3 linked regions of the Neodiprion lecontei genome follow. The protein of the gene in region 1 interacts with the protein of each later gene in a pairwise test. Links are inferred from orthologs where the notes say so. Each region holds a gene or a part of one and is shown in the gene's direction. Other genes may lie near its edges.

Region 1 (3,758 bases):
CAATACCCTGTTACTTTTATGAGACACAGGTGAATTTACATGTTGATTTTATAACTGGAGGTCAATGCTTTGGGAATTGGTATAAATTAGTTCAAATGGTTTCATATTAACACATTACAATAATGCTAACGTGAACTTTTTTGGTCAACTAAAAATGGGCATTGATAAACAGAAGATTTTTTGAAGAAATAATAACAAACCTATTTTTATCCTTAAACTGCAATTCCATATTTCAATCGTAGTGGAAACCATGCATAGCTTTGGCCTGCTGTTATAAGTTATTACTTGATAACGTTCCACGTATCATTAGTATATATATATATATATATATTATATATACGATATATGTATGTATGATCTAAATAGATATTTGATATTAATAGAGAGAGCGTAAGTTCTCACGAATCTTAAACAAAAAAGCAACTATTGATTCTATTTATTATAACGATGATAATTGATAAGTATCAGTATGATTATTATTATGATAAAAATAAATTATGTAAATAAAACTTTCCTGATATTACAGGTATACATGGTATGGTATTATTTATTGAAGTTTTCAAATTTTCCTTTATGTAAATTTTAACTGTTGCAAGCTTGAGAAACCTTTGGGCTCAATTTATTCATTTTAGGTGTGAAAATGTAAAGCTGTGTCGTCAAGAAGTAATATTGACTTTAGTACTGAGTGTATCAAGAAGAAATCTGCTGAAACTCTGACAAAAAAAAAAAGGAACTTCCAATTTAGGAATTAATTTTTCTTTATATTGACTCCGTAGCATTCAGACTCTTGACTCGGTAATTGCATTGGTTCATATTTGTGTAACACTGTTGCGATTATAGTTGATTTGTGCCATAAATCTAGCCTTACGATGGAGCTGTGATTGCATATTGTTGATGTCAAGTTGCGTTGCAAATCGTCAAATAATATCTTACGTCGTTTTCTGATCAGTAGCTTTGTGTTACACCATACACCGGGCTTTACCAAATATGTTTGTCGGAGGGTACTAGAAAGCCTAAGCTCGTTTTTCATGTTCTCGATTTCGGGAACTTACTATGTAGCAAAAACCGACAAACGATTTTCAAAAAAATCAGCTCATTCGGGTTTTAATGAGGGTCTAAGTAAGTATACAGAGCTCTCACAATAGCATTACTTCGTGTGAGCTCTTTAAGGAAGCTACTCATATGGAAGTATGTAGGACCGTGGGCACACCGTGGGTATGTGAAAAACGCGAGTGTGGCTTCCTCAAGCTGGATTTTCACTAGCAGCGAAATCAAGCGAAATGCCGCCGCAACTTAGCAGCATTCTGTTACCAGTAAAAATTCAGACTCAAGCTCGATCTCTGCTGCATCAGAGAGACAAAAAACGAGAGAGAGAGAGAAGCTTGACGTATGTGTGTGTGTATGTATGTATGCATATTCACATACAGCTGATACCTGTCACCAGAGTTGAACAATGTTTATAGTTCTGAGTCCTTAGTCAGAGCTTCTATCGTGAGTGTTCAAACTGTTATCAAGAAAGGTTTACATGATTAGACAACCGTTTATACGATGACGAATGTTTTCAGCTTTATTAAATACAGGTAAATCAAAACACATGAGAATCATGGAACGCTATTGCGTGTTGTATATGCGAAGACAATAGATCGCTGTTTAACATCGCTTACCATAACCTACATTGACCCTATCTATTGGTCACCATTTATTTATACTGAATGTATAAAATGACCTGTAACATGTAGGATAATGTAGTTAAGCGAATTCTCACATTGCTGATTCATCCCAACTTGCCCCAATTTTTGTATTAACAATACATTCGAAAATTCCAATCCAAGGTTGTTGTAAACAAAGGTGATCGAAATGGACAGCTTGTTTACGCAAAACTTATCTGATGAACCTGATGATGTTCCACATACTCAAGACCCTGTATGGATCCTCGGAAAAAAATACAATGCCATAAAAGGTTACCAATCAGTTTTAATGATTAAGTATCAGTTGATTGATCTGTATAATAACTGTAAAATCATTTCAGAACTTGATGCTATTCGGCGTGATATAAAGTCCAAATTATGGTTCACTTATCGTAAGGGTTTCGTGCCTATTGGAGGTTCTAGCTCCAGTTTTACATCTGACAAGGGATGGGGCTGCATGCTAAGATGCGGACAGATGGTTTTAGGACAGGCATTAGTTTGTTTACATTTAGGTATTTTTATTTGCCATTTAATTCCTCTAACTTAACTTTATATAGCTAAACTATTTAAAATGATTTTCTTTGTACCACTTTCTCATTTGGAGTATTGTTGTTGAATTAAATCAGGAAGAGATTGGCTCTGGACCCCTGAAACTAAAGACAGCACGTATCTAAAAATATTGAATAGATTTGAAGATCGTAGAGCTGCTCCTTTTTCTATTCATCAAATTGCTGTGATGGGGGCATCCGAAGGTAAAGAAGTTGGCCAGTGGTTTGGACCTAATACAATAGCACAGGTTTTAAAGTATGTATGAGTAATTATGAATAAACTTTTTTGAAATCTCAATGTTGTTATTAGAAAACTAAGTAATTGAGATTTTTTATTTTAGGAAGCTCGTTGTCTATGACGACTGGAGTTCGATAACGATACATGTAGCCCTAGATAACACAATAATTGTTAATGACATTAGTAAGTTAAATATAATGGAATTGAAGCTCTGAGCTGTTATCAAGTAGTACGTAATTATTCATACGTGGAAATGATCATTTCAGTGAGACAGTGTAAAATAGAAGGTGGAACAACTGTAGAAGTAGATGGTAAAATGCCTTTGAAAGCACCTAGTGAATGGAAACCATTATTGTTAATCGTTCCTCTAAGACTTGGCCTGAGTGAGATTAATCCAGTGTATGTTAATGGCCTTAAGGTATTATCATGCTTTATTGAAAATATAATCCGTATCCAAAGAAAAGATAAGTGACAAATTTCAGAGCAATTTAATATTCTTATTGCAGACTTCTTTCCAAATCGAACAATCCCTTGGTGTTATTGGTGGTAAACCAAATTTGGCTCTGTATTTCATTGGCTGCGTTGGTAAATTTTTATGAGTGTTGTAATTACAACGGTAAAATTTTCTCAAGATGTTTGTATATTCACTATTTAATTTCTTTATGATTCAGGTGATGAAGTTATTTTCCTTGATCCACATACGACACAGAGATCTGGTTCTGTCGACCAAAAATCTGAGGAAGGCGAGATGGAAACAGACACAACTTATCACTGTAGATCCGCTAGCCGCATTCCTATAACTGGAATAGATCCTTCGGTTGCTCTGGTAAGTAGTAAATTAGAAAAAAAAAGTTGACAATAAGCTATCTACATTACGTTAATACTGATATTAATGTATTACAGTGCTTCTTCTGTGCAACAGAGGAAGACTTCAAATCGTTATGCAAATCGATACAGGATGAGTTGATTAATCCAGAGAAACAACCACTATTTGAATTATGCTCAGAAAAACCTGCCGATTGGTCTCCAGTGGATGATTACACAGCTGAAGCAGCAGGGGCTGCAGCTTCAGGGAGTATGTTGAATGAAATTTATTCACAGTGATTGCATAGAAGTTGATGTAGGTGAACTTTAATAACCAAGTTTCACTTACGATTTTTCCAGTACTGGAATTTGAAAATCTTGACCGTCAATACGATGCTTCGGACGAAGAGTTTGAATTTCTTGGTTAAGCAGAATTGCACTATTCTACAAATGCTTAATTGAGAAGGGAGTATAAATATC
Region 2 (3,758 bases), on another chromosome or scaffold:
GTATACAGTGTAGCTGTACATTTTGATGGTTTCTCGTAATATACTATGTACAGTAAAATGCATAAATGCCTTACCTATACGGATAATTTGTTTTCGGTCTAAAACAAAATGCGAGTTCACTTTGTGTGACGATACAAACAACGTAACATGCAGATAACGTGAGATAATAAATCAAAGTAGCATTCTGTTTCGGACCGAAAGTAAGTCAGTCCGGAGGTTAGGGCATTCATGCACTTTCCTGAACAGTAATGTTCATTAATGGGTTTACGCTGACTGACTATTTTTTTGTCATGAAAAGTAAAACGAGTGTTCTTTCTATAGAAATTTTACGTGTCTTAGTTCAACGCATCGTTTATTTCGAGTAGTTTGCCTCTTTCTGTTACTTACGTCGCTAGTCACTGGCATATGAAATTTGATTAGAAAGGAAACTCCTTACAGTTTTTATTCCAAAAAAATAGTAAGCCAGTGAGAATTTATTAACGAATATGACTAAACTAAGAAATGCTTTAAGCTTTTGCACAAATTTTGCAACCATAGCAGTGGATTTAGAAGTAAGAGAGACGCGATAAACATGAAGCATGGTTGTAAATGCAAAAACCTTGTCCGTACAATTTTCGTACTAACGGCGTGCAACTGACGTCGGCGTCACAAGGCTTAGGTATTCCAAATTGGTTCAAGCATCAGTGCGACAAGAAGAGCAAACGTATTCTGTCTCCGTTTGTAGAATATCCGAGGCGAAACTTATAGCACGGTCTTTCGATCTTATCAATTTATTTACTTCGTGGCGTGTTGTTTGCTGCCCAGCAGTAGGGGAGAGGAGACAAAAAAGTCCGTTAGGAAGCGAGGATTCAAGAAGAAGTACAGCAAAAAGACGCCAAGCAGCTAATCAAAACAAAAGAATAGTTGATGATCGCACACGATAGCGCAGATAATCGTTAGTTTGATATATCAACACTATTACAACGAGTGGAGCTGGAATCGTCGCAATAATCACTAAATAAATATTTACATACGTATGTATCATAACTCCGAGTGCATTGGTCAAAATTGATCGTGTTGACATTTCGATCAGCCTACCAATCATTAGCATTTTATTTTTCCCACGAGAATCGGTAACGTCGCATTGACAAGATACTTACTTTTGAGTAATACGCTAGTTAATGCGTGCGACTTGAACGCGCAAATTGTAGTTCGTACAGATATTTACATCTACGCACGAGAAATACAAGGAATTGAGTCGCAGTTCCAGTACCCAATACCATAAAGCAAAGCTCAATAACCGTGAGAAAATGAAGTCCTCATCAAAATCGTTTAAAGAAACGCGTCCGTTCGGTAAGTAAATAAATGAATAAATGATAACATCAAATTTAGGTTATTTAATCTACTGCTTAATGCGTATAAGGCTATTAATTTCGCTATTCTGCACGTATAATTATGGAAACAAACAAAAATAATAATAATAATGATAACCGTAATCATAACAATGAAAATAATATGCGATAAGATGTTTCTTTTTAATCCTTGAGAGAGCTAAAACCATTTTTATTATATAAATAAACAAATCGAAAACCACCTATAATACTTCTTGTTCACTATTTTCAACTTTACTTTGACTATTTACAGTGCAGCGTGTCGCTGAGGTTGAATTAATTAGGCAACAACATCCAAATAAGATTCCGATAATTGTCGAAAGGTTCGCCGGAGAAAAACAATTGCCAATTATGGATAAATTCAAATTTTTAGTACCTGATCACCTGACTGTAGCCGAGCTTATAAAAATTATTAGGTGAGTCGCAATTTCACAAAGGAATCATGTTTCATTTTTATTATTTTTTTTTTAGTGTTCTTACTAAATTGTACCTCATTCAATTATTTCGAATTAATCCACTTCTTTATTATCTCTCTCTGAGATAGGTCGCCAGAAATTTTCTTTTATATCTACTTTGTGCGAAACAATTTTCTGAACATGTTGCAGTAGTTTAGTAAATCAAATGACATAAAAACTCTGTTTTGTCATGCTTGGAAATAGGCGCAGGCTACACCTTCATCCGACCCAAGCATTTTTTCTGTTGATTAATCAAAGAAGCATGGCTAGTGGAAGCTTGACAATGGCGCAGCTCTATCAGCACGAAAAAGACGCCGATGGTTTTCTTTACATTGTTTTCGCTAGCCAAGAAGTATTTGGTTGCTAAATTGCGACTGGTGTGATTCTAGGTGAGTCTTCGGTGATTATACACAAATTGTAAGAATTACCTATATAATATGAAATTAAAGAACTTGGCGTACTTATGCTCTGTGTGTTGCAAAGAATTCATAGCTAGTGCCAAAAACTGCTGCGTGAACATTAAAGATGACTAATATCCAAAAGGAGGATGAATTGTTACACATATCTTACTTTTACTTGTATTTACTGACTTTTAATGGTATCAAATACATGCAAACAGCGATGTAAATTATATTCAAATAAATATCAGTAATTTTATCGAATTATAATACAGTGTATAGAAAGCTGGGTTTTCTATTTGAAATAACATTTTCTTGAAATATTATCCTATATCTGTTGTTAAAGTGATATAAAAATTAATAAAATCAATTCACTGCATTGTTGTTGTTGAGTAAATTTCAAGGACACTTTACCTGTAATATTTACTGTCGTTTTTTTATTGTATTTCATTTACATTAGGATACATGAATCAGAGGATGCCTCTGTCTTTTCTATACATGCATGCGTTACAAATGTCTAATACTGAAAACCGACTTATTGCTATTTCAGATTTAATTATTTTATACAAAAATATCGAACGACGGGTGATAAATACTGTTGAACTTATTGCAACTGTGATTAGGCTGTTGCGTGTTGTGTGAGAATAAGTTTGAGAATACATGAGGGACATGTTAAATGCAAACTGAATTAAAGAATAAAAAGGAAAGTAAACAAATTATATACCTCCAGTAAAAAGAGAGCTGATAATCCTAGTAGTTGATTATTCTTGACTTAATTATCGTTTTATTGTACCCATTCATTGTACTGAAAGTTTAATTATCACGTCAATCACTATAATGTTATAACAAGTCGAACTACTAGTGTGAAACAGCTCAAATACTTGATGAAAAAATACTACGAAATATCATATTTTTATTTGAGCCTGAATGTTGACATTGAGATTTCTTTATTAACCGTTTTTGTTTAAGCGTCATATCCTATTGTTACTTATTAATTTGTATTAACTACACTCGCACATGTATAATTATATCGTGATAGTTCCTCAAATTGCCTGCTGAAAAATAATTGTTTTGTAACAATCTTATCCTTATTCAAGAAATGTTACAGTAGAATCTAAACAAATAATCTCCTTTATGATAATATTGGAATATATTTACAGATAAAATGTATTAAGTAGCGGTAATAGTATTTTGTACGTTAGTAGTTAGTTGAGGAAAATGGCAACAAAATATTCTAAAGTTAACAGATTTTGCAATATGTTCGTACAAGTATTTTTTAGTAATTAGAAGATTGTAAGTTTTTCTCATATTATAATTATTAATTTTTTTGAGGCTGATAGTTTTTCTTAGTAATATCAAAATTCATTTGTTCGTAAGATCTTCATAAACCAATCGAAACGAAGTGTTTCGTATTTGCTATTTTTGTTTATCTTAATCAATTGAATTTTCTTTGATGATAATTTCATCTTTTCGGTAGTTCAAAGCATGGGTTAATAAAAAAAAACTGTTAGTTATTTAAAATATCAAATGGCCTT
Region 3 (3,607 bases), on another chromosome or scaffold:
AGATACTACTACAAACGATTATTTACCGCTCCTTAGACTGAACTCAGTTCAGATACCGATATTTGCACTAATTTGGAAACGTTTTTTTTCAGGTACTTGAAATACTTGACTAAGAAGTACCTTAAGAAGAATAAATTGCGTGACTGGCTTCGTGTCGTCTCAAAAGACAAGGATACCTATGAACTGAGGTACTTCCAGATAAACAGCCAAGAAGATGACGACGAGGATGATGCCGAATAAACGAAATTGTTTACATCTATTTGCGCTTATTGACGGTCTTTACCAACATCTGTACATAAATATTGTTCAAATAATAAATGCCGTTAATATGCAAGTCGACCTATAGCTTGTTCTGATATCCAAGAGACTCGTCTATCTTCCAACTGAATATCTGACCCGTTACATTGGCTAGCCAGTGATACCGGTGTGTTGAATTGAAATTAGCGAAACGTGGCTAAAATCATTTTCCATATTCATCGAATCTAGTTAAGCAGCGAATGGCGTTTCTACGTCTAAGTACAGAACGAGAATGTTGCAACGTCATTCGTCATCGCGTAACGGCGCAGTAATACATCCTTCGTTCCTTCATAACCTGAACGCTTTATAAACAGAGACCCATAAAGAATAGTGAAATTTATTCTAAATATAGTTGATATTTCATTTTCAGTTATGGTCTATTTACACTCACGTAAGATGAATAGGATTCTTATCGATTTCACGACTTGGGTGATGGAGGGGGAGGACTATTTTACTCCGCGCAGTAAAGTCGCAGTCCAGTCCGCGCGGCGTTCAGCGTTCAGTTGACGCACGGCAATTGTTGTGACAGTTAGTGGTCCAGTCGTAAAAGCAGTTTTAGTCGTCTCCATTCGAAATCTATCGGGAAAAGTATTTTTGTTTGTATCAATAAAATTGAAAAATGAAGTTTCAATACAAGGAGGAGCATCCATTCGAGAAAAGGAAGGCGGAGGGCGAGAAAATCAGGCGAAAATATCCTGACCGTGTTCCCGTAAGTTTCATGAAAGTAAATTTCTGTCTCAAGTGAAGAACCTGGTATCTACCTACATTGAGTTTCAACGTGTCTATACGTTACTTTCAATATAGTCAGCTGCTAACCAAGGAAAGACATTTGTCACCGTTACGTAAAAAGAAGTTGAGAACCCAACTACGGCAACGTAACTTGCGAGCCATAATGACGCGGATTTATTTTCCAACGATCGCGTCTACTCCTCACACTGACTACCGTCTGCTGGTTATTATATCTATTCTTTGTTGGGACGTCGCGTTTTGCTTGCCATTTATGCAATCCGGCTGATGCCAGATACACACGATGTCCAAGGTCGATGCCTTGGGTATACATTCGCTGAGATGCTATTCTGCGTCGTATTTTTGGAACAGTTAGCATTTTTCAGCGCCATTTCTCTTTGTTTTTTCTTACTCTCTCTAGTCTCTTCTAGTTTTTGAACAATATCTTTCAACCACCGCCGAATTCTTTGTGTAATACCAACTTTTCATTCTGAATATCTACTATCGATTACAGTGTTGAAATTACGCGCAATGTTGTATGCGGCACAATGCCTGCAGATTTCAGTTTCGTCGTTTTGTATTCATTGCCTCGCTTGCGACCTACGTAATTATTCCGATGCTTTTTTAGAGCAAAAAGAAAGTAGTAGAAAATGAAGAAAATTCGTGGAAAAGAGAGATAAAAATCAATTGCGTCATTTTCCAGAGCTCTGATAATATTGTTCCTCTTGCAGTTAACTAGAGAATATTATTCAATGCGTGGATAAACAATGCGATTTTTAACCACAATATTAATTCGTATGATCTCTGATAAGATAAAACGGGGCTTAGTACGAACATAATAACTGTGTATATTAAACTAGTTTCCTAATGGTGCAACTTAACATTCTAATATCCTGCTAGTAGTGCTTTCACGGAATATGTATAATTACGTTAGGTTTATGGAACCGTGCAATTTAGTGTATTTGCAGGCTGGTATAATAGTGTAATCCTTTGTGCCAAAAATCACTAACCGTGTGCAAATATGTCACATTTACCAGCTTGGATTTACTTTTTTCTACATTTATTTTTGTCTAAGTTTCCTGTATACATACCAAATATACTATTGCGCAAGCTTCGAACCCCGATGAATGTTTAAAACAACAAGCTGGTCATGCACTATTCACGTTAATTTTGTCTTGAAGTTATCTGCAATTGAACTATTCTTTCTGCCTATTACTTATTTATTCTTTGCGAGATTTTTCCTGACAAAGAGAGCCGTGAATGTTTTTTGTTGTTTTTGAACGAAATCGTAGATCAGACATTACTGTATAGCACTACGCGAATGCTAATTTTCTATACAGACATCTTCTGTTCGTTGGAACTAGGTTATCGTTGAGAAAGCTCCCAAGGCGAGAATCGGTGACCTTGATAAAAAGAAGTACCTTGTACCTTCCGACTTGACAGTCGGACAGTTTTACTTCCTGATTCGTAAGCGTATTCACCTGCGTCCCGAGGATGCCCTCTTCTTCTTTGTCAACAACGTCATTCCACCTACCAGTGCAACAATGGGGGCTCTCTACCAGGTAAATTGGCCGGCAAAACTCTAGATTTCAACTTTCAAATAAAGGCCTAAATCTTTTTTATTCAAACTTGCACTGTTATGCAATTTACTTACCATGTTGAGATGCATATATTATACTACATCGTACCATTTAAATTTTTAGGAGCACCATGAAGAGGATTTCTTTCTCTACATAGCGTACAGCGATGAGAATGTCTATGGAAATTAGAGGGAATTAATAGTAAACCCACCTACTGCTACAAGTTTATGGATGCAATTTGATTTAAATTAAACAATTGAAACTTACCATCTTTGACTTAGTCTACATTTGTAGAGGCTTTAAAGAAGAGGTTTAGAAAAAAAGAAACCATATGCAATGAAAAAAAAAAAAAATTAGCAAAAAGTATGATGATGAGAATCGTATTGTATTTCTGTATCAACTGATTAAAAGTGACCAGAGAATCTAAATACTTTGTAATTGATTTGTGTAAATTTTATTATATTTTAGTAATTTTTTCTGTCTAAGTTTCATTTTGTACAATTTTTTTGTCACTTGTGTATGAAGTCATGTTAACCGTTAGCTGGGACACCAGGATACGAGATGACCCCACCCAATTTAGTTCCGATTTTAGCCTTGGCATCTTCTACTCTTAGTTTGAGGCAAAAGTGCATCATGACTTTTACTAAACTATATCGTTTCAATTTTCAAAATAAACACCTTTTTATCAGCAACGACTATCAAATGATTTATTTAGTTCAAACAGTATACCTTAAGTGTATTGGATAAAACTTTAAAATTTTTTTGGAATTACACATTTTTTTCTCAAAATGACCCGTACTATCGTTTGAAAGATGGATTGAAAACTCTCTGGTCATTTCTGCTAATTAAAATAACCAATTGTTTACTCATGATATGCATTGTAGTGGTTGGGGTCTTTAACGCCTCCAGTGTGCTAACTGTGTTATTCTGGTAATGTGTGCCAGCTATGGATTAAAAATCATCGAAACGAAGTTATGCAAATTTTTGTTCAAATAGTAAATAGT

The links.
Region 2: the proteins of cysteine protease ATG4B (region 1) and microtubule-associated proteins 1A/1B light chain 3A interact in binary tests that used the Caenorhabditis elegans proteins (3 or more experiments, as listed by UniProt). The link is inferred for Neodiprion lecontei from reciprocal best matches to the Caenorhabditis elegans genes atg-4.1 and lgg-2.
Region 3: the proteins of cysteine protease ATG4B (region 1) and gamma-aminobutyric acid receptor-associated protein interact in binary tests that used the Caenorhabditis elegans proteins (3 or more experiments, as listed by UniProt). The link is inferred for Neodiprion lecontei from reciprocal best matches to the Caenorhabditis elegans genes atg-4.1 and lgg-1.

The regions. Positions count from the first base shown.
Region 1 is NC_060261.1:33,999,039-34,002,796, reverse strand, and holds the start of cysteine protease ATG4B, read left to right. Parts: upstream 1-1,407; 5' UTR 1,408-1,580; intron 1,581-1,832; 5' UTR 1,833-1,857; coding exon 1,858-1,960; intron 1,961-2,029; coding exon 2,030-2,200; intron 2,201-2,314; coding exon 2,315-2,492; intron 2,493-2,577; coding exon 2,578-2,657; intron 2,658-2,740; coding exon 2,741-2,892; intron 2,893-2,980; coding exon 2,981-3,059; intron 3,060-3,145; coding exon 3,146-3,300; intron 3,301-3,377; coding exon 3,378-3,549; intron 3,550-3,638; coding exon 3,639-3,706; 3' UTR 3,707-3,758. UniProt on the Caenorhabditis elegans protein: Cysteine protease required for autophagy. Cleaves the C-terminal amino acid of ATG8 family proteins lgg-1, to reveal a C-terminal glycine.
Region 2 is NC_060264.1:31,140,074-31,143,831, reverse strand, and holds the start of microtubule-associated proteins 1A/1B light chain 3A, read left to right. Parts: upstream 1-803; 5' UTR 804-1,289; coding exon 1,290-1,332; intron 1,333-1,623; coding exon 1,624-1,786; intron 1,787-2,029; coding exon 2,030-2,192; 3' UTR 2,193-3,758. UniProt on the Caenorhabditis elegans protein: Ubiquitin-like modifier involved in the formation of autophagosomal vacuoles (autophagosomes). When lipidated mediates tethering between adjacent membranes and stimulates membrane fusion. Less effective at promoting membrane fusion than lgg-1.
Region 3 is NC_060263.1:16,256,854-16,260,460, forward strand, and holds gamma-aminobutyric acid receptor-associated protein, read left to right. Parts: upstream 1-787; 5' UTR 788-916; coding exon 917-1,006; intron 1,007-2,387; coding exon 2,388-2,585; intron 2,586-2,726; coding exon 2,727-2,792; 3' UTR 2,793-3,013; downstream 3,014-3,607. Other genes in the region: 60S ribosomal protein L22, read left to right, coding at 93-240. UniProt on the Caenorhabditis elegans protein: Ubiquitin-like modifier involved in the formation of autophagosomal vacuoles (autophagosomes). When lipidated mediates tethering between adjacent membranes and stimulates membrane fusion during autophagy. Recruits lipidated-lgg-2 to maturing autophagosomes.